Linked DNA regions of Tamandua tetradactyla. The protein of the gene in region 1 purifies or fractionates together with the protein of each later gene. This does not show direct contact. Links are inferred from orthologs where the notes say so. Each region holds a gene or a part of one and is shown in the gene's direction. Other genes may lie near its edges. The genes, in order: MAVS, SQSTM1, PLK1 and PLAAT4.

Evidence for each region.
Region 2: the proteins of MAVS (region 1) and SQSTM1 purify together in Homo sapiens (affinity purification with western blotting; 3 studies listed by BioGRID). This does not show direct contact. The link is inferred for Tamandua tetradactyla from reciprocal best matches to the Homo sapiens genes MAVS and SQSTM1.
Region 3: the proteins of MAVS (region 1) and PLK1 purify together in Homo sapiens (affinity purification with mass spectrometry; 3 studies listed by BioGRID and IntAct, counting the BioPlex papers as one, with this or other methods). This does not show direct contact. The link is inferred for Tamandua tetradactyla from reciprocal best matches to the Homo sapiens genes MAVS and PLK1.
Region 4: the proteins of MAVS (region 1) and PLAAT4 purify together in Homo sapiens (affinity purification with western blotting; 4 studies listed by BioGRID). This does not show direct contact. The link is inferred for Tamandua tetradactyla from reciprocal best matches to the Homo sapiens genes MAVS and PLAAT4.

What each region holds. Positions count from the first base shown.
Region 1 is NC_135327.1:56,980,987-56,988,868, reverse strand, and holds the start of MAVS (mitochondrial antiviral-signaling protein), read left to right. Parts: upstream 1-4,763; 5' UTR 4,764-4,844; intron 4,845-7,882.
Region 2 is NC_135346.1:1,372,023-1,380,023, reverse strand, and holds the start of SQSTM1 (sequestosome-1), read left to right. Parts: upstream 1-4,921; 5' UTR 4,922-4,944; coding exon 4,945-5,185; intron 5,186-6,288; coding exon 6,289-6,384; intron 6,385-6,785; coding exon 6,786-7,015; intron 7,016-7,083; coding exon 7,084-7,255; intron 7,256-7,821; coding exon 7,822-7,911; intron 7,912-8,001. UniProt on the Homo sapiens protein: Molecular adapter required for selective macroautophagy (aggrephagy) by acting as a bridge between polyubiquitinated proteins and autophagosomes.
Region 3 is NC_135349.1:33,375,516-33,382,754, reverse strand, and holds the start of PLK1 (serine/threonine-protein kinase PLK1), read left to right. Parts: upstream 1-4,102; 5' UTR 4,103-4,212; coding exon 4,213-4,620; intron 4,621-5,307; coding exon 5,308-5,476; intron 5,477-6,190; coding exon 6,191-6,335; intron 6,336-7,239. UniProt on the Homo sapiens protein: Serine/threonine-protein kinase that performs several important functions throughout M phase of the cell cycle, including the regulation of centrosome maturation and spindle assembly, the removal of cohesins from chromosome arms, the inactivation of anaphase-promoting complex/cyclosome (APC/C) inhibitors, and the regulation of mitotic exit and cytokinesis.
Region 4 is NC_135335.1:11,186,619-11,194,677, forward strand, and holds the start of PLAAT4 (phospholipase A and acyltransferase 4), read left to right. Parts: upstream 1-4,972; 5' UTR 4,973-5,120; coding exon 5,121-5,129; intron 5,130-8,059. UniProt on the Homo sapiens protein: Exhibits both phospholipase A1/2 and acyltransferase activities. Shows phospholipase A1 (PLA1) and A2 (PLA2), catalyzing the calcium-independent release of fatty acids from the sn-1 or sn-2 position of glycerophospholipids.

The sequences.
Region 1 (7,882 bases):
GCATGTCTTTTTACTCTCCTTTGGTCTGGAAAAGTTCTCCAGGCTTTCCTTGTACTGCATGACCTTGACATTTTTGAAGAGTTATTCTGTACCTCAGTGCTGTCCAGCTGAACTTTTTTTTTAACTGTACATTTCATGACGATAGAAATGCCTCTATCTGCTCAAAATAGTATGTGAAATGTGACTAGCAGGGCTGAGGAACTGATTTTAAATTTTATTTAATTGTAATAAAAATAGCTGCATGTGACTAATGGCTACTATATTAAACAGCACAGCACTACAATGTCCCTCATTTTTGGTTTGTTTGATGTCTCCTCACAATTAGCTTCATTTTATACATTTTCAGCAGGAATACCACAGACATGCTGTTGTGCCTTCCTTTGTCTAAATTTTTTAAAAGCTACCAACAGGTGACACGAAACCCCTTAGACCACAGTAGGCTGGGTTTTTTAATATCCCTTGAGGTCCAGTAGAAGGGTTGGCAGCTGCTCTTGGAAGCCTGTAGCACACTCCAGTGCTTTTCTGGCGAGGATTAGATGTGAGGCCACTGGAGTGTGCTACAGGGTGGGGGTTTAGTTTCCAACCAAAGTTTACCCCGTCTTGGCTAACCAACCAAGGCAGAGATGGCTTTATTTACAGTTGGATGGGTTCAGGCTTGATATTAAGAACATTTCCCAGCTGCCAAAGGTGGTGAGATATCCAGAGTTACTGAGGAAAGTAATAAAATCTCATCTGAAAAGCGATCGGGCCTCTTCCTGTGATCGAGTTTGGAAGCACTGGCTTTGGAGCTGGGACTGAACTTAGTCATTTGCAGGTTATCTCTGCCAAATCTCTTAACCCCTCTTTTTTTTTTTTTCTTTAAAAAATTGTGGTACAGAGGATGTAACAAACTTAAGTGTACAGCTTATGCATTTTTTACATATGCACAAACCCAGGTAGCTACCACCCGTATCAAGATATAAAACATTTTCATCCCCTTAGAAGGCACCTGTTTCAGTTTGCTAAAGGTGCTAGAATGCAGTAAACCAGAACTGTGTTGGCTTTTACAACAAGGATTTGTTAATTTACAAATTTACAGTACTAAGTCCATGAACATGTCCCAATTAAGGCATCAACAGGATAATACCTTCTCTGAGGAAAGGCTGCTGGGATCAGGGGTTCCTCTGTCAGATAGCATAGTACGAGGCCGGCATCTGCTGGTCCTTCACTCCCGGGTTTCATTGCTTTCAGCTCTGGTTCCAGTGGCTTCCTCTGTGGGTCCTTTTGGCTCCCCTGGGGCTTTTCTCTAAGCTCTCTCAGCTTTTTCTGTCCTTTATCCTCTCATAAAGGAGTCCAGTAAAAGGATTAAGATCTACCTTGAGAGAGGGCGGACGCGGCGCGCTCGCGCAGCCAAGAGGGAGAGAGGATGGAGCTCACGCGCGGCCGTGCAGGACTCGCCCAAAGCCGCTAGCGGGGGGGGGGGGGGGGGGGGGGGGGGGGGGGGGGGGGGGGGGGGGGGGGGGGGGGGGGCTGCGCTCACCTTGGTCCATGGACGCCAGTGCGGCCGCAGCCTAAACGAGCCAGTTCAAGGAAGAAATCTCTAAGTGTTTCAAATCGCATACTGACCAACTTGTGTTAATATTTGCTGGAAAAATTTTAAAAGATCAAGATACTTTGAGTCAGCATGGAATTCATGATGGACTTACTGTTCACCTTGTCATCAAATCACAAAACAGGCCTCAGGTTCATTCAGCTCAGCAAACAAACACCACTGGAAGCAATGTTACCACATCATCTGCTCCTAATAGTAGCTCCACATCTGGTTCTGCCCCTAGTAACCCTTTCGGTTTAGGTGGCCTTGGAAGGCTTGCAGGTCTGAGTAGCTTGGGTTTGAATACATCTAACTTCTCTGAACTACAAAGCCAGATGCAGTGGCAGCGTATGTCCAACCCTGAAATGATGGTTCAGATCATGGAAAATCCCTTTGTCCAGAGCATACTGTCAAATCCTGACCTGATGAGGCAGTTAATTATGGCCAATCCACAAATGCAGCAGTTGATACAGAGAAATCCAGAAATTAGTCTTATGCTAAATAATACAGATATAATGTGACAAGTATGTGGAAAGTTCTTTCAGTTTATTTGGCTGAAAAATCATACACAATTTCTTAATGTTTAATTTTCTATGATTAAAGAGCTTACCCTATACAGATGGCAATGCTAAATAGAGAAATCCTATTATTTCCTCAGGAAAATTCAACAAAAGACTTATTAGAACTATTTGAATTTACACATTTCTGGTATATTTTACCATCTTTGCAGACAGTTTATTTTGCAGATTTAAGGAATAAAGGGTGAATCTAAAAAAAAGATCTACCTTGAATGAACTGGGTCACAACTCAATTAAAATAAGCTAGCCAGAAGGTCTCACCCACAATAGGTCTGCACCCACAGGAATGGATTAAAAGAACATTGCCTTTTCTGGGTTACAGCTTCAAACAAGCACAGCACCTTTGTGCTCCCAACAGAACAATAGCACTCCAGAGATAACTAGCAATGATTTCTATTTATGTAGATTTTCGTTTTGCCTGATTTTGAACTTTAGGAGAGTGGTAACAGGTGGCACATATTCATCTGAGTTTGCCTTCAACAGTCGTGCATCATGTGGTGGGGTTATCCGTGTTTGAGTATCAACAGTTTTTCATTGTGGTCTATATGATTCCATTATGTGAATATACTACCATTTGTCAGTCTGCTCTCTTGTTGGTGTACACGTGGATTGTTTCCTGAGTTTGGCTGTTATGAATAAAAACTGCTGTGAACATTATCTGGTGTGCATGTTTCTTGGTGGACATATACCCAGGAGTGGATTGGTGAATCACAGGGTTGACATACATTTTAACTTTAGTAAAAACTACCAAACTTTTTCCCAAATATTCTAATTTCTCTATAAAAGAGGAAGAATAAACCTACTCTACCTGGTTGTTGTGCGAGTATTTCATGGGCCCTACACTCTTAAGACCTGCCCCTGAAATAGTGGAGGCTCAATCATTGCTGCCGTCCACCCAGCAGTGGACTGCGAAGAGCATGGGGTGGGGTGGGGGTGGGGTGCCCCACAGCCTTTGGCGGAGGGGGCCTCCTGTGTGGCTCACCACCTGCTTGGCCTCTGCCCTACACCCACCCACTGGGCCACCCCTGCCTCCCGCCCAGCCTGCACACCGCCTGACTGCGCACACAGGCCTTCGTGATCCCTGAGTGTCACCTGAACATTTATTTATTTTTAAAGTTTTTATCTTTTTCATTTTTAAACAGTTTTACTTACACATCATACAATCCAGCCTGTGTATAGACATGCCTTCACCTCCGTAATCTATCTAAAGACATTTCCTTTTCTTCCACAAATAATCCATACCTCTCCCCCATACCCTCCCCTTGACATTTAGTTTTGGCATAAGGCCTATGTTACATTCACTGGAAGCATATTACAATGTCACTGTTGACATAGACCCTAGCTTGCAGTGATTGTACTTTTTCCCATATACCTTCTATTTTCAACAGCCTGCAATATTGGTGTTCATTTGTTTTCCCTCATCCAAAAACTTTTTTTTATTTGTATAGTTAATCACCATCATTGTCCACTCTAGGCATTCCTTAATTATACCTTCTCAGTCTTTACGTTCTATCTTTTCTTCCGGTGTCATATGTGCCCCCAGCCCTCCATCATTCTCATATTCAGCTTCTTTCAGTTTACTAACATTATCGTACTACAATCAGGTACTATTGTGCTATTCATTTCTGAATTTTTACAATCAGTCCTGTTGCACAAACTGTATTCCTTCAGCACCAAATGTCCCTTCTCTACCCTATTTCAATCTCCTGATAGCCTATGTTATTAACTTCAATTCTCCAAGTTTGCCCATTCATGTTAGTTTGTATTTGTGAGACCATATAGTATTTGTTTTTTGTTTCTGGCTAATTTCCCTCAGCATAATGTCCTCAAGGTTCATCTGCGTTATTACATGCTTCATAAATTTATTGTCTCACAGCTGCATACTATTTCATCGTATGTATATACCACAGCTTGGTTTACCACTCACGGTTGATGGACATTTGTACTGTTTCCATATCTTGGCAATTGTAAATAATGCTGGTATAAACATCAGTGTGCAAATGTCCATTTGAGTTCTTGCCCTCAGGTCCTCTGAATATATACCTAGTAATGGCATTACTGGATCATATGGCAATTCTATACTTAGCTTCCTGAGGAACCACCAGACTGCTTTCCAGGGCTGCCGTTTATTGAATGCCGCCTGTGTGTCAAAACTTGGGACTCATGAACCAAGGAGATTAAAGCCCCTCACCCCTCAGAGCACGGTGGAAAGAGGGAGAGCTTCACCCAGGGCATATGAGCTAGGAACTCCAAACCACCCAGAGACTCCGAGGCCCGCCGCCTGCCTCGCTTCTGGCGAGACCGCAGACTTCCCCTGGAAGTTGTTCGCGATGTACAAGGGAAGAAAATAACTTACTGCCCCAGCAGGAACTGGAACTGCACCCAGCCCGGACACCCCACGCAACCCGCCTCTCACCCCAGGCCAAGTCCCAGCCCCCATCCCACAGGCCCTCGCGTGGCCCCGTCCGCCTCCGGGCCAATAGGCACGCGGCTCCGCGCCCCTCGGCCGGGCTCCCGGCCGCCGCAGGCCAAGTCCCCGCCCCCGTCCCACAGGCCCCCACGCCGGACGCGCGGCCCCGCCCCCGCTGCCGCCAATGGGCGCGCGGCCCCGCCCCTGGCTCCGCGCCCGTCAGCCCCGCCCCGAGACTTCACGGCTGGAGGCTGCAGCTGCAGGTCGCCGGGTCCGGCCTCCAGAGGTAAGGTCGCCGACCAGGGCGCCCGGTCTCTTGGCCCAGAGACACCGAGGCCTTTCGTGGAGGTGGGCCGCGGCGGCAGGAGCCGAGGGGGAGTGGTAGTCCGCCGGACGCGCGGGCTTCGGGGCAAGGCGGCTCCGGGGAGAAAGGGTCCGGCGGCATATGGGGCTTGGGATCATGGGGGGATCATGGGGGTCCACGTGCTGCACTCACCCGCGGGCGGCGGCGCGGGGCGGCGGCTCGGGCTAGAGGGGAGCTTGGTCCGGAAGACGACGCGGCACCCAGCCTTAACTCCTCCTACTGTTCCCAGGCCCAGGGTGACCTCGTGGCGAGGCCGAGCGCGAGCCCGAGCGCGCGAGCCCGTGAAGGCGGCGGCCGCGCCTCGGGGTCTAGGGTTGACAGTTTCCCCTGTGTCCGGGAGTTCCTGGCAGTGATAACTGCATGGAAAAACACCCTCCCCTCCCTCCTCCCTCCCCGGACCTGGGTCTGGCCCAGGGACCCGGGCCAAGGATCTGAGGCCTCCTTCCTCCCGGGTGGGTGATTATTTTTTTCTTGGAATGCTCCCTGGATCGGTCAGGTTGAAAACCCTCCGCTTCTCACCCTGAACGCAAGGCCACTTCCTTTCTCTTGAATCGGGAAGGAGGTTCCAGAAAAACCCTGAATAAGACAAAAACACCGTTCTTTGTTTGGATGCCGCGAAAGCCCCGTAAACATCTGGAAGGACAGTCTGTGAACTGCAAACAGTGGCTGCCTTAGATGTCTTCAACCTCTTCCAAAAACTTTCAAGAGAAGAGAATGAGTGGAGTATCCTCCCAGGCGCACACCTACCCAATGACTTCCCTGCCCCACCAAAGTGGCCTCAGACCCTTCCTGGGCTTGAATACAGGGGGCCATGTGGATCTCACTGTGCCAACAAGGCATATGGTGTACTGCTGTGAAACATCAAGATCCGAGTTCAAATTCTCCTCCACTGGCTCGCTGTGGGACCTGACATCACTTCCTCTCTCTTGGAACCACAGGGAGAGTTAATGGAAGAACCTTAGGAGGTGCCTTTCTATAGTAGTCCCTCAATAAAGATACATAAACATTTCTTTTTGGGTTACATTGCTCTCCCCCACTTGCCCTTAAAGATGAGGTTGAGATGCAGCAGAAGAGCCTCATCTGACTCCTTCCTGGTACCTGGTGCCATAGGGAGGGAAGGAGAGAGGGGTCCATTACCCACCACAGAGTTTGCTTGTCTCCTGAAGGCCCTACTCAGTACCCCACCTCCCTGAGCTTCCTTGACCTGTCACTAGCACTCACCCTATCAGAACGTATGTAGTACACGGTGATTATCAAAGCAGGTCTTCTAATGTGAGGCTGTGGACATATAGACAGGACCACTACCCCATTTCTCATGTGGCAAGGGGCTGACTGCCTCAGCAGCTTTTACGTCCTCTGTGCAGCAACACTGTCTCCAGGAGGTCTTACCCAAGCCTGACACCCATGTTTTTACTCCAAACTGGCCCTCCCCTCTACCCCTTTCCCTTCCTGATATCCAATAACATCTCATGCTACACTTGCTCAAAACTGAGCTGCGAAGTTCCCTCGGTGCTGCTGCCTCTCCCCTGGCTTCTCTACCTTGGTCAATTACCCCACCCAGCACCCAAGAGTCATCCTCGAATCTTTTCTTTCCCTTACCTCCAACATCCAAAGACATCAGGAAGCTACCTACCCCTTGCCACCGTGACTACCATCCTGGCCATACTCATTGTGCTGGTTTGAAAGGACTTGTATACCCTAGAAAAGCCATGCTTTAATCCTAATCCAGTCTTGTGGGAACACTCAGAGAGGCGAGCCACTGTGTAGGCGCTTGGAAAGGGTGGGACTGCCACTTTCTAAAGCCCTAAAGATAAATGACTGTCATACCTTGAAACCTAATGAACTTTGCCCTACAGGTTTTCGAAACTGCTTGGATCCGGTGACCTCTGTGTTCCTTCCAATTTCTCCCTGTGGAAATGGGACTGTGTATCCTATGACTGTCCTTCCTTTGTATGTTGGCAGCAAATAACTTGTTCTGAGTTTTACAGGTCCAGAGCCAGAGGAGAGTTTTACCTTAGAACAGACCATACCTGCAGCTGACTTTGATGAGACTTTGTACTAGTTTTAACTTTGTATTGCATTTATATTGCTACTGAAATGCTTTAAGGCTTTCTGATATTGTTATGAGATGAATGTATTTTGTATATGGGAAGAACATGTCTTTTTTAGGGTCCAGAGGGTGAAATGTGCTCGTTTGAAAGGATTTGTGTGCCCTAGAAAAGCCATGATTTAATCCAAAACCAATTTTGTGGGAGCACCCTTTTCCTTTCATCCCTATTCAATAATTTAAGTTGTAAACTTGATTAGTTATCTCCAAGGAGATGTGACTCACCTCTTGTGGGTATTAACCTTTCATTAGAGGGAGATGTGGCCTCACCCATTCCAGGTGGGTTTTGATTAGTTTACTGGAATCCTTTAAAAAAGGAAGCATTTTGGAAAAAGCTTGATAATGACAGGAGAGCAACAGAGCAGGGTCATGAGAATGATGAGTGCCAGAGCCCATGCAACCAGAGACCTTTGGAGATGAAGAAGATATATGCCCCTGGGAGAGCTTCATGAAACAAGAAGCCTGGAGAGAAAGCTAGCAGACATTGCTGTGTTCTCCATGTGCTTTTCCAGTTGAGAGAAACCCTGAAACATCATGGTCCTCTTGAACCAAGGTGTCTTTCCCTGGATGCCTTACATCTGGCATTTCTATAGACTTACTTTAATTTGTCATTTCTGTGGCCTTAGAATTGTAAACTAGCAACTTATTAAATTCCCCTTTTTAAAGACTTCCATTTTGGTGTATTGCATTCTGGGAGCTAGCAAACTAGAACACCTATCGTCCATCTACTGCTGTGGCCTCCTGACTTGACACTCTGCTTCCGTCCTGGCCCCTTGACAGATATACAACTAGAGAGGTCTGTAACATAAATTAGATCCCTTCCCTGTTCAGAACCCTCCAATTGCTCCCCATT
Region 2 (8,001 bases), on another chromosome or scaffold:
TACCGTGGATAAAGGTAGTGTCGGCCATAAGGCTTTCACAATTACATGGTCACACTGTAAAAGCTCTATAGTTATACAATCATCTTCAAGATTCAGGAAAAGGGGTTTTCAATAAAAATGGATTTTTCTTGAATAAATGAATGGAATGAAATCGATTCAAGAAAAATGAATTTCCCAAGACCACAGTCACATTGTAAAAGTTGTATCTTTAGATGATCCTCTTCAAGAATCAAGGCTAGGGGAACACTGCTCAACAGTTTCAGGTAACTTCCCCAAGCCACTCCATTCCACCATAAATGAAAACTGCACGTCCCTAGAATGCCTATGAATAACCTCCAGGATAACTTCTTGACTGTTTGAAATCTCTCAGCCACTGACACTTTACTTTGTCTCATTTTTCTCTTCCTCCTATTGGTCAAGAAGGCTTTCTCCATGCCACGGTCCCAGGTCCTGGCTCATCCCAGGAGTTCTGTCCATTATTGCCAGGGAAGTTACACCGCTGGGAGTCACGTCCCACGTAGGAAGGAGGGCAGTGAGTTCACCTGCCGGGTTGGTTTAGAAAGAGAGGCCGTGTCTGAGCAACAAGAGGCTCCCTGGGTGTGACTCTTAAGCACAGTTATTAGTAGGCGTAGCTTCTCCTTTGCAGGAATAAGGTCCACAGGGACGAGCCCCAAGGTCAGGGGCCTGGGTGGTTGCTCTCTCAAATGCTGCAGGCTTCCCTGTGGAGGAAGGAAAAGTCTGGGAGCTCCGATGTCGGCACATATGTGGTTTGGTCTGGAAATGATGCATGGCCCCCTCCTCGCAGGTCCTTGGCCAGGACTAGCATGGCTTGGTCCCACTTCAAGGGAGTAGTAGGTGGTTAATATCTGTCGAGTGTTTTGATGTTTCTTGGCATAAAACGGGTGCTACATGGGTGATACCCATACACTATTAATATCATTTATTATTGGGAAGTTCTGTCAACAGAAGCCGCTGGGGGTTTGAGGGTGACAGAGGGGACAGGCTCAGGCTGACCCCCTGGGTCTGGCCACCTTGTGTGGCCCTCACTGCCATCTGGAACCCTGGAGCGGGCCTGGGGCAACCACCCACCCCAACCAGAAGATGCTAAGGGCCTGCCTTGGGGTGGCCCTGGAGGGCACTTCAGGAGCCGGCTTGACACTCATGTCCACCTCGGACCCAGGGGGTTACATGACTCAGGCCCAGCTTGGGTCCCATGCCGACCCCACCCTGTTCTCTATGGTAGTCCCCCAAGGAAAATTTCCATCCTAAAAAGGAGGGGAATTGTGCAAGGCCCTGGAACTCCTGCCCTAGCCTCAGCCGCAGCCAGAACACAGGTCTGGGGGACCTCGGCTTCTCCTCCAGGACCCCAGAGGTCAAAGGGGTGCCAGGGCCCAGGGGCTGGTGGTCGTGCACCCAGACTTTGAGGATCTGGATGGGTCAAGCCTCAAGGCCAGACAGCTCACTGGGGAGGTTTGAGGGGGGAGGGTACTGCTCTGTGGGAGGTGGGGGGAGGACACTGGCCCGCCGGGGGTGCAGCCCGGACCCAGCCGCACCTCTTCAAGCAGCTACTCCCTCCACCTGGCCCCAAACTCTCCCCCACCCCAGAATGCGTGGGACAGCCCTCACCCCACCCGCAGCGCCTGCTTCTCCCCCCAGCGGCCCTAGGCCTCACCTAACCTCAGCAGCGGCTCCTGGGCTTCATCTTGCATTTCCCTGACCCCTTGCCCCCTGTCCTCTGAGAACGCTCTGTGGGCCTCTGTAGGAAGGGGCTAAAAGGGGGTTACACCCAGGGCCTGAGGCGTTTGGGCTGGGGTGGGGTGTCAGGGAAGGTCCCATTGAGGAGCAGACAAGGGGGGAGGCTGCCTTGCAGGGCGTGGGGAGGGGGGTCCAGGCCGGGGAAGAACCAAGAAGTCACCGGGCGAGGGAGTGGGCATGCGCAAAGAGTGGACATGTGCAGGGAGAAGTGGGCACGTGCACCGGGCAGGGGCTGTGGCCCGTGGGAGTGAGGGCCTGGGGAGGACTGGCAGGCGGGTCCCCTGGCCCTGAGCAGGCCCCACGCAGTGCAGGGACAGGTCCGGCCAAACCGCCTTGGACCCCTTCCCCTCCCAGGGAGGCTCATCTCTGGGGCGGTGGGCTGCGTGGGGAGGGGCCGCCCCTGTGCTCCTCAGTCCCCTTTAAGGCCTGCCGGGCGCAGCTTGCTCAGGGTGCCCGCCCCGGACCCGGACCGCGCCAGCGCGCGGGGGGCGCCCCAACCACCGCACTGCCGCCCATCTCCAGGCGGGGCACGGCGGGGCCGCTTGTTCGCGCCGAGGCGCCAGGCGGGCCGGGGTCAGCGCCCGCGAGGTCGTCCCGGAGGGCGGGTGGGCTGAGCGGGCACCGGGGGGAAGGGCCGCCGGCGAAGGGTACACAGGGGGCAGCGGGGAGGGACCTGGCTGCCAGCTGTGCCACCCTGCCTGGGGCCCGCAGGCAGCCCACCCGGCCGCAGGTGAGATGCCACCGAGAGGGGCCGGGGATCCCCTGCTGACGGCGCGGGTCACGCGGCGCTGACTCACGGCCGGCCGGACGGGCCCGGCCACCTGACCACGCAGCCCGGGGGCGGGGAGGGCCCCGCCAGGGGGTTCCGGTGCTGCGCGGGTTCCCGCGCCCCCGCCGCCTTGGGGGAGGGGAGGCCAAGGGCCGCGCTCGGGGCTTCTGGGGGAACCCTCACCACGGTTCCAAATGAGAAGGCGGGAGCGTGCCAGGGGGCGACCTCGGGGTCCCGCTGCTCGTTCCGGGTCCCGACTCCCACCCCAGACCGGCTTTCCTTGTGCGCCCGGACCGGGCACCCCACCCACGCGCTCCCTCCCCGCTCGCCAACATTCCCCCCCCCCCCCCCGCCCCCCCCCCCCCCCCCCCCCCCCCCCCCCGCCTTTCTGCAGGGCTGCCCCGGGCAGGGCAGGGAGCTCCTCTTTGGAGGTCCCTGGGCAGGGTCAGCCCCACCCGGGGTCAGTGCCTGCTGCCTTCCCACAGGCAATCACTGCACCTGACAACGCGCCCTGCCCCCCAATCTCCCTTGGTCTCTGGGTCTCCCACTAAGCCCCCTCTGAAACACCACGAATCTGACCACAGATCTGACCCTCCCACAGGCCCCCCACCTGGGCACTCCAGAGGGCCACATACCCTTCCCGCCAGGTCTTTCCAAGGCACCCCACAGGCCCTGGGCTGGGCTGCCCCAGGTCGCTGCCCTCAAGTACAGTGTTTCTTGGTTACTGTCTCCCAGCTGTTCTGACGCCCCTGCCCTAAGGCCCACAGGCCCCTGGCTCCCAACTGAGGCAGGGGGATCAGCAGAGAGCAAATTCCAAAAAAGCAGGCAGGCCACAAGGAGGGAAGCAATAAACGGCACCTGCGGCAAACTGACCCCACCTGAGCGAGTCATCCAGGGCCAAGTGTCACAAGGAAGGGAGAAGGGGAAGGTAGTAAAATAATTAATAAAAGTTACAAAAGGAACAAAAAACAATAAAAGCATACCCTTGATATTGCTATTATCAACACCAACACCATCCTATCAACCCTAAAGAACACCCAGGGCTCTATCTGAGACCCTACAAAGGTTCCGTGCACTAGGGGAACTTTCCAGAAACTTACAGCCTCCAGATGGTTCCTAGGCCAGAGAAGTCCTGAAACCCAGAGGGCCCAGCCTCTCCAGACATCAGCTGGTTCCATCCCCAACCCATATTATCCACAGCCCCTTCCAACATGAAAAAGTTAGAATCCCAAATACCCCTAAAGATTGGGAGAAGGATTAAAGGAGGAGGAGGAGTTAGAACAGAGAAGACAGGATTTAGCAAATGTTGAATGACATTCAGAGTATAATTGCTGAGTCACTATATACCGATATTTCTGTTGGCCTCCAGGGTCTTGGAGCAGCTAGAAGGAAAAATGAAAAATTGTGGAACTATGACCCACACAAAACTTTAAACTCTGTTTTATAACTACTTGTTAAAATGTACTTGGAGATTTATTGCTTTGTGTATATATATTTCATAAGAAAAAGTTGAAAATTATAATAAAAAGCAAGCCTTCCCACCGTGTCCTGCTCCTCTCATCTCTTTCCTTTTGGGAGAGCGTCCTCTCGCTACTACTTTTGTGTGCCCAGTACAGGAGCCGCCACGGAGAATACTGAATAAACTCTGTCTGCTTCCCGGCTGTGCTGTGCCCTTGAATCCTTTCTCGAGCCCTGGCCAAGAACCTAGGAACCTAAAGCCACAGCTGGCTGGCGCCCACTGAACTGAACCCTGACAGGTGGGCATCTGGGCCGCGATGACCACTCGGTGACACCTGACATCCTGCAGGGCTGGCGCCCCCCTGTGCTCTTCCAGCACCTCTCAACTAAACTGGGGGGCTGTGGAGCTCAGGCCTGAGTCGGGCGTGACCGTCCACCCCGTTAGGGCTCAGGCGTGGGCGATGCTGTGCAGTGCCGGGGGAGTCCGCTGCTCCAGGGGCCTGGGGACCCTCAGCGCGTTAGAACGGGGGCTGCCTGCTCCCGGCGGCCGGACCCACCGAGGGGCCTCGGCCCCCCGACTCTGCTCCGGGGCAGCCGCGAGGCTGTAGTGCTGCGTCACGACCAGGCCCAGGTCTGGGGAGGGGCCTGGGGTCCCGCCCCTTCCCCCGGGACCAGCGCCTCAGCCCAGGCTGCCGCGGTATAAGCACAGGAACCCGCCCTGCGGGGGCCGCCTTAGGGGACCCCTGCACCTGCGGGCGGCGAGGGAGGGGCCGTCGGGAGGAGGCCGCGGGGCCGGGGTCCGCGGAGGGCGGCCCGCGCCGGGGCCCCAGCAGGGCGGCTCGCGAGTGCGGCGGCGGGGCGGGGCGGGGCGACGAGGCTCCGCCCAGGGGGCGGGGCAGAGCGGGGCTCCCGCTCTACAAAGGCGGCGGCGGCGGCGGGCCGGGCGCAGTGCCGGCGCGGCCATGGCGACGCTCACGGTGAAGGCGTACCTGCTGGGCCGCGAGGAGGCGGCGCGCGAGATCCGCCGCTTCAGGTTCTGCTTCGGCCGCGAGCCCGAGGCCGAGCCCGAGCCCGAGCCCGAGTCCGGGCCCGGGCCGGGAGCCGACGCCCTGGTCGGCGCGGGGCCCTGCGAGCGCCTGCTGCGCCGGGTGGCCGCCCTGTTCCCGGGGCTGCGGCCTGGGGGCTTCGTGGCGCACTACCGCGGTGAGCGGGGCGGGGGTCCGGGGCTGGCGGGCGCTCCTCCCTCCTCCCTCCCTCCCCCCACCCCTTCCCAAGCCGGGCAGGGGCGGGTGATGGCTGTGCCCGGCCACAGCTGGGCCTCGGGTGGCCGCCGGGGGCAGGGAGTTCGAGCACAGGCCCGGCCCGGTCCGTGCGGGCTGCCAGGCCCCCCAGCGGCGCTCCGGCCTGGGGGCGTGAGGCTCCCCTCCCCCGCCGGGCACTGCAGATCCCGCAAGGTCGCCCCCGGGGCGGGGTCGGGACGGGCGGCGGACACTCGGGTTACGCTGACGTCCGCCGGCTGTCGCCTCCCGCTGCCAGCGCCGGGGGCGGGGTGGGGTCAGCTGATGTCCGGAGACCGCAGGCCGAGCCGGCGCGGAGGAGGGCCCACCTGGGCCAGGCGGGAGAGACGTGCGAAGCCGCCCGGGTGTCCCCCGGCATGCGCGGGGCAGAGGGTGGGCTGGGGGAGGGGCTGTGAGCGCAGGGCCGGGGGTGGGCGGGGGGTGGGCGGGGGAGGGCCTGTGAGTGCAGGGCCGGCTCCTGCAGGCCGGGAGCTGGGGGGGGGGGGGTTGGGGGGGCCGGGGGCGGGCCGAAAGGGAGGGCGGGGCTGCCGGGCCCGTCCCGTGTCTTTTTCCTTTGTAATTGTTCCGTGGGCTGTAGTTGTTGTCCGGGCAGGACGCTCAGGAGCGTGCAGAATATGGTGGTTTCAGCACGCTCACACATATTTTAGGACCTTTTCATTATCTTAAGGGACAGACCTGTACCCTGAAACACTCGCGTTCGGGTCTTTCTGACGTTTCCGTGTTTTGGCGCTGCCCTGTCCTTGCGGGGTTCAGCTGATGGGGATGCGCGGCGAGGTTTGGGCCGCAGGGTGGGTCCGACAATAAAACCCGGAGACCGCGCACCAGTCACAGGCTCGGAGCAGGCCGGCCCGGGGCCCCCCCTTCCCGACGCCGTCACGGTGGCGGCGGGTCTTGCCTCCCACCCTGCGGTTCCCCGGGACGGGGTCCCCCACGTGCCCCCTGGCACCGGCCTCAGCCCGTTTCAGCCCCGCAGGAGGCGCGGGCACTCACCTCTCTTCCCCACACCAGATGAGGACGGCGACCTCGTGGCCTTTTCGAGCGACGAGGAGCTGGCGATGGCGACGTCGGGCGTGAGTGACGGCACCTTCCGCATCTACCTGAAAGGTGAGGGGCTGCCTGCCGACCCCGAGGCCAGGGGGGCAGGGGCGGTCTTAGACGCTGTGTTCCTGCTGCAGAGGAGGCGCTGGCGCTGCGCGCAGGGCCCGGGGTCTGGAGGCCGTCGTGCAGCGCAGCCGGGTCTGGGGCCCCTCCGCTGCCCCGCTCACCGCCGGGTGCCCAGGCCTCGCGCCGCCCGGCATTGGCCGCGCCCCGCCTCGCTGCACACGGGGTCAGCCTCGGCGCCCCTCCCGCCCTCCGGGGGCTTGTGCCACCAAGGCCGGGGCGGCTTCGGGTGCTTGGGGGTTGTTTGAGGAGCCAGAAGCTGCTGCTCACCGGCCGCCCAAAGCAGCTGGGTCCTGGACAGACTCCCAGGACCTGACCCCACTGGCTGCCTCCCCTCCCCACAGAAAAGAAGGAATGCCGGCGAGACCACCGGCCCCCGGGCGCTCAGGAGGCGCCCCGCAGCTTGGTGCACCCCAACGTGATTTGTGACGGCTGCAATGGGCCTGTGGTGGGGACCCGCTACAAGTGCAGCGTGTGCCCCGACTACGACCTGTGTGCCGGCTGCGAGGAGAAGGGCCTGCACCCAGAGCACGGCAAGCTCGCCTTCTCCAGCCCCCTGGGGCACCTCCTGGAGGTGAGCAGAGTCTGGCGGTGGGCCTGGGGTGGTGCGGGGATGGGGGTGGGGGAGCCACAGACCCACAGCCCCCCCGTCCTTCTTCTGCCCTCTGGCAGGGCTTCTCGCACAGCCGCTGGCTCCGAAAGCTGAAGCACGGGCACTTCGGGTGGCCGGGCTGGGAGATGGGCCCACCGGGGAACTGGAGCCCACGGCCGCCCCGCGATGGGGAGGCACCCCCCGGCCCCTCGGCGGAGTCAGGTGAGGCCCAGGGCGCCTGCAGGTGGAGGGAATCCCACCCAGTGGGAGTGTCATTTCCATTCCTCATGGGGAAACTGAGGCAATGCAGTGCTCAGACCCGAGAGCCCTTCCCGCTTCACCCCTCTGGGTCCCTGTAGCCTGCCCCACTGTCCTCTTTTGTGCCAGCTGTCAGGAGATTCAGCCAGGCTTGCTCACCTTTAACGCATAGTCACAGAGTTAGAAGCTTACACGTAGCTGGTGTCCTGTTTTCAGGGTAGTGTCTCCTCCTGGTTGTAGTAATGTCATTGTGTCTTTGACAAGGTACCGGCTTGGTTTCTGAATGACCTACATAGGCTGTGGCCATTATTTTGGTTCTGCTTGTCCTGGGCCTGTGCTGGGGGAAAGGTGTCCAGGACGTGGCCTCCTGGGAGGGGGAGGGGGAGGGGAGCTTTGTGGGCCTAGGCTGCAGTCAGAGGTGCCCCTGGGACAGCAGGGGCCTTGGGAAGGAGCAGGCAGGACCGCAGCAGGCATCAGAGTCACCAGGACATGTGGTTGGAATTAAACATGCCTCCCACTTCTGCTTTTAGAAGTCAAAGCTGCTGGCCCACCAGAAGATGCCAGTGTCCATTTCCTGAAGAACGTAGGAGAAAGCGTGGCGGCTGCACTCAGCCCGTTGGGTAAGTGGGCTTTCTCCTCTGTCTGAGAGTTTTGGTAACCCCGTACAAACGTGGGGTTTTTTTTGCGACACTGACCTCAGATGATCTCTG
Region 3 (7,239 bases), on another chromosome or scaffold:
GTAATAGAAAAAAAATTATACATACCATACCCCTCACCCCTCACCCCCATCTATCACTAGCATTTCAAACTAAATTTATTTTAACATTTGTTCCCCCTATTATTTATTTTTATTCCATATGTTCTACTCGTTTCTTCACAAGGTAGATAAAAGGAGCATCAGACACAAGATTTTCACAGTCACACAGTCACATTGTGAGAGCTATATCATTATTCAATCATCTTCAAGAAACATGGCTACTGGAACACAGCTCCACATTTTCAGGCAGTTTCCTCCAGCCTCTCTATTACATCTTGAATAACAAGATGATATCTACTCAATGCATAAGAATAACCTCCAGGACAACCTCTCCACTCAGCCATTGACACTTTGTCTCATTTCACTCTTCCCCCTTTTGGTTGAGAAGGTTTTCTCAATCCCTTGATGCTAAATCTCAGCTCATTCTAGGGTTTTTCTCAATCCCTTAATGCTAAGTCTCAGCTCATTCTAAGATTTCTGTCCCACGTTGCCAGGAAGGTCCACACCCCTGGGAGTCATGTCCCACGTAGACGGGGAGGGTGGTGAGATTGCTTGTTGTGTTGGCTGGAGAGAGAGGCCACATCTGAGCAACAAAAGGGGTTGGGGGTGACTCTTAGGCCTAAATTTTAAGTAAACCTGACCTATCCTTTGTGGGGTTAAGTTTCATATGAACAAACCCCAAGACTGGGGGCTCAGCCTATAGCTTTGGTTGTCCACACTGCTTGTGAGAATATCAAGAATTCAACTTGGGGAAGTTGCATAACTCCCTGTTCTCATCATTCCCCGAAGGGGGCTTTGCAAATACTTTTCCACTCACTGATCAAATCACTTTGTCAGCCCTGGATCTTAATGCAGGGGCTATTTGGATTCTTGATTTGGGATTCTTGCCCAAAGCTGCGAATTGGGGGAGATCTCATCACAGGGACTGTGTCCCCTCGACTTGCTTTTGGCAGATCAGACTCCACCTTCTCTGGAGATAGCTCACTGCTGATGTGTTCAGCTTTCCAGATTGCTTGCAGTTTGCAACAATGAACTGTTAGTCCCTCTGCTTACCTCCCCTTTCTCCCCTTACACACACCTTAGTGAGGTAGATTGATTATTAAAAGCAGCTGTCCTCAGAAAGGGAGCGCTCTTTTGCAGGCTGCTCACTGGGTAAATAATCAAGACAAAAGGGGTGGGAGGTTATGAAACCCCATTTTAAAAGTTTTGAAAATTAAGGATTTTGTCCTGACTAATTCCTGAATGTGTCTTTCTGGTTAAGTTTTGAAAAAATATTTTTCTGCCAAAATGCTTTCGTGCTTCTTGCACACACCTCTCCCCAAGTAAAGGCCTGGGTGAGAAAAAGGGATGATTGAAAAAAATATCAAGTTAGAGTTGTTGACTGGAACCCACTGGTTTTGTAACAAAAGAGGAAAAAAACCCAAAACCTGGCATCCTGGGAGGCATGAGGGAGTGGGGAGGGCACTTTTGATCTTTGCTTTTCAGTACTGTTCCTGGAAGCTTTCCCTTCTTTCTGAAGGAAAATTCTCAGTGCTGCCTAAGTGTTGTGAGCATTTCGAATTCCAACTGCTGAGCCTAGGGTCACACCTGGCAGCACTCAATGGGAGACAAGGGAGTGACCCTGTTCCTGCACTTTCATAAAGATACCTTCAAGTGTCATTCACACTCATGAGATGAATGAACACATATCGTGGACAAGCAAAAAATGCTTGTAACTGACTGCCTCAGTGCGCGCCTCTGAAACCAAGAGCTGAATTGAATTTTTTGCTTGATTGAAAACCCCAGGATGGAAGCCCCATAATTGAAGGCCACACTGGGGCCCTGTGAAGCTGAACAGCCCAACTCGTAGCTCTCCTGCTTGGGTACCTAACATTTGTAAACTGTGTTTCCAGGGTTACCATGTGTGTTCTCTGGGTTTGTACTTTTTGCACCCTAACTATCATGACACTGCCTTAGCCCTGGTATTCTTTCAGGTCAGCTTCAATTCATTGGCCTAAGTGGGCTGTGCACAAATTTATATCTCAGAGCAGGTTAAAAAAAAGCTTAACACAGAAACAGAGGAAATAACCTGCTTTCTAAGCTAGGCTTTTATGGTTAATGGGATTTGTTTTAACTGGCTAATTCCAGGAATCCTAAAGGGCATAACTGAGATTGGTGCTGCAGATTAGTCTCACCCTGCTGTGTTGGGGTCCTGCCTTAAAGAAGTCTTGGTCAAGGGCCAAGGGGATGGACTATGCAGAATAGAGTTGACAGGAAGCCTAAGACTGTTCTCCTTAGGGCTGTTTGCAAGACTGGCCCTTGGCTGGCATCTGGGAACTTAGTTTCAGAAAGGCTCTCACCATACTGTAAATGATAAGGGTGGCTCACTTTGCCTAAACTGTACAATCAATGTAGTTTATGCTGAGCATTTGCTTTCCTTCTGGGCATCTAGAGTTTTTCTCTGTGCTAGCCAGAGGGTGCCTATATGACAAACTCTCCAGAAAACCCTGGGTATGGAGCCTCTTTTAGCTTCTCTCGTGGACATTTTACATCTCTGGAAGAATTAAGCACATCCTGTGTGACTCCACTGGGAGAAGACTTTTTTGGAAGGTTTTTCTTGGTTTCCTCCAGAATCTGCCCCATGTGCCTTTCCCTTTGCTTCATATCCTTTCACTATAATGCATCATAGCTGTGAGTACAACCATATGCCCATTCCTGGGAGTATCCTAGTGAATCATCGAACCAAGGAGTGATCTTGGGGATCCCTGACACAGGGGCTTCTTGGTGGTGTTTACACAGGGTGTGTTCAGTTTGTGGGAACTCACTGAGCTGTGCAATTATGATGTATGCTTTTTCTGTAAGTATACTGCATCTCAATAAAAATGTAAAAGAAAAAGAGTAGAAGATTATACATCATGGGGATAAAAAACAACTTTTTAAAAACCTTCCTATTCAGCAAATATTTTAGTAACCCTTTTTAATCAGGTATTGCACTAGAAGCCTGAGACACAGGTTGAAAAGACAGCATGCCTCCCAGTTTAATTGGAAGGCAGGTGATCATAATGTGGTTGATTCTTGCTGGGTTCTGTCAGGGACATCATAGGGCTCTAAGGGAACACAGTGAAGGTACTTCTAACCAGCATTTTGCCATTTCATGGGTGTTCCACACAAGTGCTACAAAAGGCAAAGGGGAGAGGTGGAGACTTGTTGATTGGGAAGATGAGTAGGCCCGGTATTGCCAGAGTTTCACATTTTTTCAGGGAAAGCCATACGTGAATTTTTATGTGAGCTCTCATTTTAAATTCTGTAAATTCAACTTTTTTTTCTTTTAAGTGAGGCGGCCAAACAGAACACTCCTGCAGGTCAAATTCGGCTATGGACTGCCAGTTTGTTAGTCATTCATCCAGCCAGCCTTCCCTCTCTGAACAACAGGTGGAATGTCCACTATTTTAGGCACTGGAAAACATAGCAGTGAGCAAATCAGACTACTTTCTTGCATGGTGGGCACTCTGGAATGGTACTTCTCAAACTTCAGTATGTGGGGCGATCACCTGAGCAGTCTCGTTGAAAGGGATTCTGACACAAGAGGTCTGGGATGGGACCTGAAAGGTTGCCTTTCTAACAAGCTCCCAGCTGATGATGATTGCTGCGGGTCCCTGGATCATACTTCTGAGTAGCATTCTTCCATTCAGAGGGACTGTTTATTTGTAGGGGTTGGGGAAGGGGGGCTAAAATGACTTGTTATGGAGGTGAATTTGCCTAGCGAGCATCCGGTTTTTACTTAGATTTTAGCTTACATTTTGGTAGACGGAGTGGGAGGTGGGGTAGGTGGAGGAGGGTATTAGGAAAAGCTTCCTGGAGGAGGTGCATGGGAATTGCAGGAACTCCCCTAGCGGTCCGCGAAAGGAAGAAACCTAGAACTCGTCTCCTAGGTGTGGTTTCCCAGGCATCCCACGTGTCTGTTGCCCAAGCGTCCCGTCAATTAAGTTTTTCTTTTTTTTCGGTGCTGGGTAGGGGGTTTAAAGGCGGCTACGATACAGAACACTCCCATGGTGCCGCGCGGCGGGCGGGTTTGGATTTTAAATCCCCGCGGCCAATCAGTGGCGCGAAGGGTTTTGTAACGTTCCCAGCGCCGCGTTTGAATTCCGGAGAGGAGCAGGTCGCAGCAGAGCGTCCGCCCCTACCCTGCTAGGTCTGCTGAGCTACTCCAGGAGCATGAGTGCGGCGGGGACTGCAGGGAAGCTGGCGCGGGTTCCTGGCGAACCTGGAAAGGCCGGGGCCCCGGGAGTTGCGGCACCCGGGGCCACAGCGGCTGCCCCGCCGGCGAAAGAGATCCCGGAGGTCCTAGTGGACCCGCGCAGCCGGCAGCGCTATCTGCGGGGCCGCTTCCTGGGCAAAGGGGGCTTCGCCAAGTGCTTTGAGATTTCCGACGCGGACACCAAGGAGGTGTTCGCGGGCAAGATCGTGCCTAAGTCGCTGCTGCTCAAGCCGCACCAGAAGGAGAAAATGTCCATGGAGATATCCATTCACCGCAGCCTGGCCCACCAGCATGTCGTCGGCTTCCACGGTTTTTTTGAGGATAACGACTTCGTATTCGTGGTGCTGGAGCTGTGCCGCCGGAGGGTGAGGGTTACTGCTGGGGAGTTGGAACTGCTTGGGGGCCGGGAAAGGGCGCTCGGAGCCTCTGGGGAAGATGTTGTGGGAACTTTGAGCCAGGGAAGGAAAAGATCGCGGGTAGGAAGTATTGGCTGTTGGGGGAGGGGGTCCGATTAAGTAGAGCCGGAGTCGTTTTGCTGCTAGGGAAAGCGGCCCCTGGACACGAGGTGTTGCCCAGGGTGGGGAGAAGGGGCGCGGGTTAGGGATCGGAAGTGGGGATGGGAGAGTTGGTAATAGATGCTAAGGGAGGAGTCCTAGGTAAGGACTGGGGTGGACCCGGAGCTTCCAGAGTGGGGCTGAGGCCCGACTTCGGAGCTTCTCAGGAAGAGATGGGTCTGAAAGAGGATTTGGAGCTGCAAAAGGCCCGCGGAGGGCTACTGGGGACTCTGAGCTTCCGGAGTAGGGCTGGGAGAAGGGTCTCGGGTAAGAGGCTTCAGAGAATAGAGCTACCAGGAGACTGGGCTTGCAGTTGTCTTGGAGAAGGAATGGAGGTAGGATTGCGGAAAGGGGAGAGCCTGCCAAGACCCCTCCTCACATTTCTCTGCATGCACCCGGGGTCCAGATCCAGTCCTGGGCTGCCTTTCCTTAGCGACCCCTCCTAGCACCTGGACCTCAAGGCCTCCTCCCCATTCTTCCCCTCCTTTCCTGGCCCAGTCCCTGCTGGAGTTGCACAAAAGGAGGAAGGCACTGACTGAACCCGAGGCCCGCTACTACCTGCGGCAGATCATCCTTGGCTGCCAGTACCTGCACCGGAACAGGGTTATTCACCGGGACCTCAAGCTGGGCAACCTCTTCCTAAATGAGGATCTGGAGGTGAAAATAGGTGAGGTGCTGGGCCTCCACGGGTGCTGAACACCCCTGGAAGAAGGGAGATTGAGGAGGAGGTGGGGGAAGGAGGAAGAGGACAGTGGGAAGTCTGGGCTGATAATTGACTTTGGATCCTCTCTTTAGTCCAGAAATTTTAAAGAGCCCACAAGCCAGTTTCTTACCTGCCGAAGCATTTTTGTACCCCTATAAGTCTTTAAAAAATTTTTTTTGGAATTAGTTTCTGATTTTTAAACTGGGAAACTTGACATAAAAATATGTCCTTGGAGCTCCTTTTAAACAATTGGAAGCTCCAGCAACACGGGCAGCATTCCTTCAGGGCAGCCCTTTGCTGAGCTGAGAGCAACTGTCAGCTTTAGACTCCCTGTAGCTTGCCAGTCCCCACCCTTCCCTAGTCCCCAAGCTTGTTGCCTAGTCTAAGTCTTTGAGGTTACTGGCTTGAACCCTAAAGGCTTTTGAATTTTTTGTCCCTACCAAGCATCCTTTTAGACGCATAGCCCTCATTTTTAAGAGGAAGGGTGGGGCATGGGGCACTGGGAGGCACCTCCCTGTGAGGTGGGAGGATTTCTGGGCAAACCTCATTGGTTGTTGCAGGGAGTAGAGGCCTGTGGGATCAAATGACCCTGGGTCTTGATAGACACAAACAAGCTGTCTGCATTGACTGATGGCAGAGACAGGCATCCAAGTTCCCCCCTTTCTCCCTCTGTCCCAGGGGACTTTGGTCTGGCAACCAAAGTTGAATATGACGGGGAACGGAAGAAGACCCTGTGTGGGACTCCTAATTACATAGCTCCTGAGGTGCTGAGCAAGAAGGGGCACAGTTTTGAAGTGGATGTGTGGTCTATTGGGTGCATCATGTAAGTAGGGAGCTGTCTTAGGACCCACTCAGCCTCATCAGGGCCCCTTTTGGAATCTCACTTGGCTAACCTTATCCTGTGGATTATAGTCTAGTCTAAAAACAAAGTTAATTTCCTTATCTTTCCTTGTTACTCTGGAGTATCCCACAAGCTGGGCCGTGGGTCCAGAGAGAGAGGGTGGGGTAGCTGTCCAAAGATGTCCACCACCTTGCTATAGACCCTGGCTGCTCAGAGTGTCACGTGCAGACCAGCAGCATCAGTGCCACCTGGGAATTTGCTAGAAATGCAAGCTCTCAGGCCCTAGACCCGCTGGATCAGAATCTGGATTTTAGCAAGATCCCTGGGTGATTCTCACACACATTAAAGTTTTAGAAACACTGATCTATGAAGCAGCACTGAGCAAGAGGAATTAGACTGGGAGTTATTGCTGGCAGGAAGAGGTGTGTTCTCAGGTTAAGACCATCAGAGTGGAGTGGGGACTCCATGGTAGGCAGAGACCCGGGCCTTTTCAAGTATTATCTCTGTTTGTCGTTGCTGGTCTGGGTACTGGAGAATTAGAAATGAGTAGTAGCAATGACTTTCATACTTTCTGGCAATGGAGCTATTTTTCAAAATCTTAAGTCTTCTCTTCTGCATAGAACTATAAACGTGAAGTTGTTTCCATAGAAACAGGGAGACCATCCACTTTAATCTGTCTGTACGGCAGGTAGCCTCTTTACCTCTTCTGCAGAACCTTAGATTACTGTGGGCTCTAGTTGAGAAATCACTGGCCCATAAGAATTGTGCTTTTGTCATCTGTATTATCCTGAGGACTCATCCCAGCCACTGTCCTGGCTTCTGAGGGTGCTGAGTAGACGTAAGATCTATCTTCACAGATACCAGAGTGAGGGTCCAGACAATCCCT
Region 4 (8,059 bases), on another chromosome or scaffold:
TTTAAGGGCGAGTTTGTAAGACAGTTAATATTGCTAGAGTATTAGGATTTATTCCGTTACAAAGTTTAATATAATTGGAGAGGTCAGTATTACGAAAAGGGCAGATTGCCGCCTGACAGGCGGTGTTAGCATTTTCATAAGCGAGATGCTTGATAAAATCCCTTTCGCTTTCCTGATCACCAAGAATGCACTGGGTTGCGGTCTGTAGCCGACTGAGGAAGTCAGTATACGGCTTATTGGGGCCCTGAACTATTTTCGATAAAGAGGAGGTGAGAGCCCCCTTTTTGGGGGAGTAGCCTCCATGCTTTAATGGCGGCGGACTGCACCTGGAGACCAAGTCCTCGGGGGTATTTTGCTTGGGTAGAATTAAGATGATAAGGACTTGACCCTAGAAGCTTTTTTAATGACCAGGATTTTGTGCTGTCCTTTAAGACGTTGCTTTCAGCATACTTTTTACACTGCTCCTCAGAGTCCGCTTTCCATAGCAGGAAATCGCCACCTGATAGGGTGGCTCTGGCGAGCTGTGACCAATCATTTGGAGTAAGTTCCTTTTCGCTAATATTGTCTAGCAAAGCCAGAGTAAAAGGGCAGTTGCTCCATAATCATGCATGGCTTTTTTTAGTTCTTTTAAATATTTTAGATTAATCCTTTTGTATTTATTGATTCGGGGTGCTTCCTCCCGCTCGCAGCTACGCTCACGGCTACATTTGGATTTTATTTCGTCCTCATCATTAGCTTTCTCGCTCCCTTCCCCGTCACTGCTTTCCTGTTCAGACTGAGGCTCGGAAGCTTCTGACCTTGCCTTTTGCTGGCTACGGAGGACCGGAAAAGTGTAACGGGCACAGCGGGGGTTAGAGGGCTTATTTTGGTTAGTCATTAGAGAGAGAAGAGAGCGCCTGACTGGCGGTTTGCAGGGAGTTAAGGAGGGGATTATTTTGTAACTACAGAATTACATTCTGAGTGGGGTCTGGAGAGGGGACATGCATCTTTTAAGGCATTTTCTCCCTCTCTACAAAGCTCTAGTATTTCAGGGTCTGAAGGGGAAGTTTTTATGGCCTCATTGATTAAGTTCCAATAATTGAAGGCTGTAACTGGTACCTTTTCCGGCCCGAAAGTTTTATAATAGTCCTGTAAACAATCTCCTACTCTTGACCAGCATTTTTGGTTTATGGTCCCGTCAGCAGGGAACCACGGGCAGGTTTGATAAACAAACTGAAAGAAATCTCTAAGGTCCTTTTTCTTAACTCTCGCTCCTCGCGTCTTGAGGGTTTCTTTTAATTGTCTCACGTAAAGCTCATGTGTACTAGATTCCTGTCCCATAGTGAATTTTTTAAATGAAAATGAAAGTGATTTACTGCGTGATCCTTCGCTCTTCTCTTTGTTCGTCCGTCGGTGCGAGGCAGTGTCGCCGGGGCTGCATACACAGGCGAGTTACTTCTGTGGCAGACCGGGGTTATGGGAGGGCCCTCCTCATTTTTCGGCGCGCGACGCTTCTATCTCTCAGCCAGCGGTCGAGGCCCACGTCGGCGCCAAATGTCCTGACCCGCAGGACAGTCAACGGGGTCCGCCACCTGCTGAGGGAAGAATGGCTATGGGACAGAGAGACGCAAGAAGGACAACAAGACAGGATTCTGATCAAGTTGCAAATTTTATTAACCAAGCCAGGTGTATATATACCGGCTTGGGGAGGGAGTAGGGTATGTAGAGCATTATGATAGGAGGGAGTTCGCGCCGGCGGGAAGGACTGGTTAGATAATTGGTGGGGAATTCGCGCCGGCGGGAAGGTCCCGGCGGGAACCTATTTCCGTGAAGAACCTTGTTGTACTATATAGATGCCATTGCATTAGCCGGGGTAGCCATGTTGGCTCAATCGCTATCTTAGGTTAGCCTCTGGTCCCCAACATAATCCAAGTATCAGCATGATTAAGAAGTGTATTGAAGTTCTGATAGACAAACAGTGCATCGAACGCAGCCAATCGTCAGCAGATGAATACAGTTACGTAGCGTGATGTTGCTGTCCTCCAAGTGTGGGTGTAAGAAGATCATTGCCATCACCATTTGGTGTGTTCCTGTGGGAAAAAGCAGGCCTGTGCCTCCATAATTTGGTTATTTGGCAGCCCCTGTTTTTCTGCTGTTTACAACATCACCAGTGCCACGTCATGAGCATCAAAGAAAATGCCTCTGGATAATTTTAAGCTCATGTCATTATGACATTTCTGAAAACTTTATTGAAAGAATGAGTGAAGTATTGCTGAAATGTGGAAATTTGGTTGGGTACCATGCTTTTTCTCCCCCTCATGTTTGCAGTTGATGTGTTTTATGTTTTTTTTTAATGTATCTTAAAGGACAAAATTAAAAAACCTAAATATTGTAATATGACAGATAACCTAATAATTGTATCTTCATTAAAACGACAAACATGATATTGCTGCTTGTCAAATAAAAAAAAATAAAGAAAAAAAAAGAATATATATGTGTGTGTGTTTGTGTGTGTGTGTGTAATGTGGTAGGCAAACAAGCTAGATGACATATCAGATCCTTCATTTTCTCATGAACCCCCTTGGTGGCCTCACCCAGGCTAATGGCTTTCCATGCTCTCTCCGGCCCAGACCTGACCCCTGAACTTCAGATACTGGGATATCCAGTTGTGCTGTCCACTCAACTTTCCAAACAGAATGTATGATGGATTTCTCAAACACTGCCAAAACTAAACTCCAGATCTTCTCCTGAAAAATCTGTTCCAGCTGCAATTTATTAATCTCATCTGATGGTGTTCATTCTTGACTTTTCTTTCTCTAGTTCCATCAGTCAGGAAATCCTGGTGGGGGCTTGACCTTCAAATTGGGTCAAGAACCCAATAACTTGTTACCACTGTCTTGCTTGGAAGACAGCAAATTGTTCTTTCTGCCTCTCCCTTTGACTCCACAGACTATTCACAACCAGGAACCAGATGGACTCTGTGAAAATATAAGTCTGGCCATAACTCTCCAACCCTCCAATGGCTCCCATCTAGTCCAGAGGGGACAATCAACCCCATCCATGGCCCACCCAACTCATGCAGATCAGGTCCTTGTCACCTCAAAGCTGCCATTTTCTATGACTTTCTCTCTGGCTCCAAATACACTGCCAGGTCTTGTGTAGCCCTGAGGCCTTTGCAATTACTGTTCCTTCTGCCTGGAATACTCTTCACACTTATTATGCAGGACTCACTCTCTTACCTTCTTCAGTTCCTTACTCAAAAGTCACCTACTCAGTGAGGTCTACCCCAACCATTCGTCTAAAATCATACCGCCCCATTACCCCTTGTCCCCATTCCTTTCTTATTTTTCTCCTTAGCATTTTGGCCATCTAATGTATTATCTATTTCACCATGTTGCCCAGTGGCAGCAAATTTTATCTGTGTTATTCACTGGTAGATCCCAAGTGCATATAGCAGTACTTCGCACATACAGTGAGCTCAGTAAATACTTGTCGAACGAACCCCAGATAAAGTCCCTCTGGGTTAGTCATCTTGGAGTTAGTCTGCAACAGTTAGTCCTGCTTGCTTACCTGGATAACCTCTCCCCTCATGCCTTATCCTCCCTACTTCCTTTCTTACATGCAAGCTGACATTCTGACCTCTTACTGGCCATCACAAGGAAGGAATCTAGAAATAAATGATTGTAATCAGTGAGGATTTGCAACTTCCTTCTTTCTTTTTTCTTTCTCCATGTTACAAAGAAAAAAGAAAGGTTTACAAAAAAAAAAGAAAAAGAGGTTTCTTCCTCACCTGTGTTAAAAGAAAAACTTTTAATGCAATTTAAGAACTCTCAGCCTTATGGAGTGATTCACGAGTCAAATGGCATCTCATTCAGAAAGTAGAAGGGAAGTCTCCCAGGGGGGTGGAAAGGGGAAGTTTATACAGGACAAATGTGGAAGCCAGTGAGGAAACATTCTGATAGGCTTACATTAAGTTTTCCATTTTACATAAATGGGGACTTTCAAAGTACAGAGCAGATATATATTGATTAGTATGATATGCTTAGACCTTCTGATAAGCTCTCTCTACTGGACAGAAACTGCTTTGTCATCAGATGTTGCTTATCGGCAACCCTAGTGGAGAGCCATCTCTCCTTCTGACCTCCCTTGCACAGCTTGTCCCAGGATAACGAAGCCCTGATGTTGATTGAACAGTGAGAAGCCCCTCCCACAGACTGATGTGACCCACCAGGAGTGCTGCAAACCTGTCAGGGTGGCCCTATCCCCTTTGATTGTTTGGGGTGGAAAATAGCACCCAAGACTGGCCAACAAAGAGTGGGAACAAGTCATCAGGGTGTGATGGAAAAGATTTTGCTCCCTGGTAATAAGAGTGAGAAGGGATAAAGAATCACATTCCTTTTCTGAGTTTGGACATTGTCCCTTGAAAATGTGATTTTCTTGAGGCTGCTGCAGCCATATTGGGCCATGCAGGGAGCCACTATGGACACAGGATCAGCATGATGGAAGGACGAAAGGCCTGGGCCTTGGGTGGCTGGGGTGAGCTGCTGGACCAAACCCGAGTCACCTGCCTCCTGCCTTCCTGTCACCAAAACACTGAACTTCTAGGCTGATGAAGCTGCTTTTCATTTCGTTCTGCATCTTGCAGCCAAATGCATCCTAACAGGGCCCAAGCCTCTCTAGGCTAAGGCACCTGCCACTTGCAGTCTTTTCTCATGGGTTCCAGCTCTCATCTGCTCTGCCCCCTGAGCCCTCTAGCCCAATATTTCCAATACTGACAGATGAAAATGTCGTCTGAGGGTGGGAAAGGGGGATCAGCATCTCTCTGCCGCTGAACACTGTCTTTTCCGGGATGGAAACAGCTGCCAGGATTCTTGTTGGAAGAGACCTGGGTTTTCCCAAGCAGGGGCAGGAAGGTGGGGGCTCTCTTCCCACTCTCACTGCTGTCAGGGGGCTTCCAGGCACCAGTGATTCCATATATGAATGAAGGTAATCAAGAGCCTTTGCATTTACAGCAAGTAGCTTCCTTTAAAACATTTTCTTTCTCAGAAGTGTCAGAAGGAAACTGAAAGTGAAATTCTCCACTTTGGTATAAAGCTGGCTCGTGAGCAGTAGAGAAGGAACCACCACGCACTGGCTCCAAGATGACTTCGGTAAGTTCCGACAGGACTTTCTATCAGGGACTCTTTTGGAAGCTTTCACCATAACTTGTTTAAAAGACGTTGCAAAAGTTGATATTTGTAACAACTTTTTACTTGATATTTTGAGAACACACACAGTTTTGATGGTTAATCAAATGGTATTTAAGATATTGTTTAATATTTAGAATTCTAGTAACTCTGATATCTGTATTTGTAGATTTTTTTTCCATCTTTGTTTTAATTTTAAATTGGTTTCTTGTTGCTTCCTATTGAAATGGAGCTCGAAGGATATTAAGGAATGACGAGAAAGAAAGAAAGACACAGATGGGCTCAGGGGGTTTGAAGCTTAACTTTAACAAACAACAGATAACTTTATTCTTATCCAGATCCTAGTTAAATACTGCAGGGTGACAAAAGGCATGCATGCATTTCTTGAGGGAACAGAGAGCTTATCTTTCAGTGTTCTCTTCCTTCATACTTAACATAACCATTTGGGGTAAACATTCTTTCCCTTCCAGACTGCTCTACATAACAATCTCCACAGTTTACTGCCACCACCCTGAGGCCAGCTCCTCCCAACAAATTCTACAGATCTTGTTTTAACCCTTGGCTCCTACAGTTTATGAGACATATTGTACAAGCAGGCTTTACAATGATTACTTAGATTTTTCTTTTTTTTTTTTTTTTACATGGGCAGGCACCGGAAAATGAACCCGGGTCCTCGGGCATGGCAGGCAAGCACTCTTACCTGCTGAGCCACCGTGGCCCGCCCAGATTTTTCTTTTTAATGTGCCTATGGATAAGCTAATCAAGACATCTATTTTAGGTGGTTAATAAGATTTCCATGTAAATTATAAAAATATTTGTATCTTCATATTTTTTGATATGAAGATACAAATATTTTTATAATTTACATGGAAATTGAATTGAAAATGTGATTTTCTTGAGGCTGCTGCAGCCATATTGGGCCATGCAGGGAACCACTGTGGACACAGGATCAGCATGATGGAAGGACGAAAGGCCTGGGCCTTGGGTGGCTGGGGTGAACTTCGTATTTTCCTGAAATAAGGAAAATATTTAATAGTATATGTCATTACTATAACAATACAGCCTGGTTGCCTTCATTTTAAATTGGTTCATGTGATGATTATATGGATACTTTATTTAAATATGGCTATGGTTAAGCAAACTAAGATATCCATTTTTAGTGGTTCTAAGGGTATTGTTTGTTTGCTTAAATTAAAAAAAAAATGACCTTGCAAGATAGCAAGGTCTTTGGGTCACATCTGCTTCTTCTCTGAGTCAGGCACACAGCCAGGGAGTGGGGGTGGGGTAGTAAGAGGGGGCGTTGCATGATGCGAACTGTTTGCTTGAGCCAGGGGGTCCAGCTCCAGATAGGGGCCTACGGAGGGAGCCAAACCCCGATCTGGGGAAAGTGGGCAGGTTCCCACCTTGCCTGCCTCTGTCGCTAGCTGAGATTCCATCCCTTCATAGCCTCAAATGGCTCTTTCCTCCTCCTCTCACTTGCATGTCCCTTTCTCCCTCTTTATAAATTGCATTTCACCTCTGAGCCCTGCTGAGCCCTGGCTGATGCTGCAGCCTTGAGATGAGAATAAGAACCTGGCAGAAGTCCTGGCACCACTGAGCCCCACCTCTCCTCTAAGGCTGTTTGTATCTTTGCCCCTTACATGCCAGGCCTTTTGCTGAATCCTCAGATTCAGGGTGAGAGGGACAAGCTGGCAGGATCCCATCCTGAATGGAGCACTAAGTCCCAAGGACGAGCATAGATGGTGGCAGGAAACTGTAGACCCCTCGTCATCCCAGCAAGGAGAAGTGGAGGTTCTGAAGGAGCCAGGGACCCAGCGAGGGCTGGCGAGCCAGGCTGGAGCTGCCAGGACAGCTGCCCAGGGGAGAGGTTTCCAAGAGGAGGGAGAAGAAGAGTGGTTGTGGGGACGGTGGTGGGAGGCAGAAAGAACCAGATGTGTAGAGGAGCAGAACCAAGAGAGAGCACTATGGGGGGGGAAGAAACCACCCTTTTGGGAAGGCCAGTCTGGGCACCGGGGAGACTGGAGGTGTGGGGGCCGGGACAGGAGGCAGGGAGGCCAGTGGGGTGGCCGTGGCAGTCACGGAAGTGAGGGCTGGGAACCCCTCGACCCAGTCAGTGGAAAGGAGATGGGATGAGGAAATGAGTTCCAAGAAACACCCTGAGTTGGCATTGCTGGGACTAATGACTGGACATGGGCAGGAAGGAGAGTTCAGTGGGACCCTTGGGTTCCGACTGCGCAGCCTGGCAGGTGGTTGTCACTCACTGAGAAAGGGTACAAATCAGAGGTCGGGAAGCTGGGAGGGGAAGGAGGCGAGAGGAGAGCCAGCTCAGCCTCTCCTGGCCCAGTGCCCTGGGGCAAGTCCTGTCTCCTGGGGCTTGGAGTGATGATGGCAATTATGTCGGAAAAGCACTCTGTGCCTGGAGCCCACCCCATGGCTGGAAGCTGGGAGTCCCTTGGGACGCTCACTGAGATGCTGCCAGCTCCTGTCTCTCAGGTCGGCAGCCCCACGGGCTGGGCAGGGGGAGAGTCTGAGGACAAAAAAGTGCCTCCCATGGCCGCAAACAACCGCAGGGCTGGAGGACGGGTTGAGGCTTTGAGAAACCCGAGACTCCACTAACTGATTCTGCTCGGGCCACACCTGTCCTGGGAGAAGGGGCCTGAGCGCGCAGCCCATGTGTCAATGCTCAGAGCCCCTGCGCCACCCCCATCGCCATCCATGCCTTTCTCACTCCTGAGCACACACACACACCCATGTGAATAGCATGCACTCGTCCTGGAGAAACCTCCTCTCCCACATTCCATGAGGGTCACTTTTTTCCAGGTTTCCAGCTCCTGGTGCCCTTTGCCCCAGGGAGAGTCTCTTAAGAGTGTTGGCTGGGCTGAGGATCCCGAGGC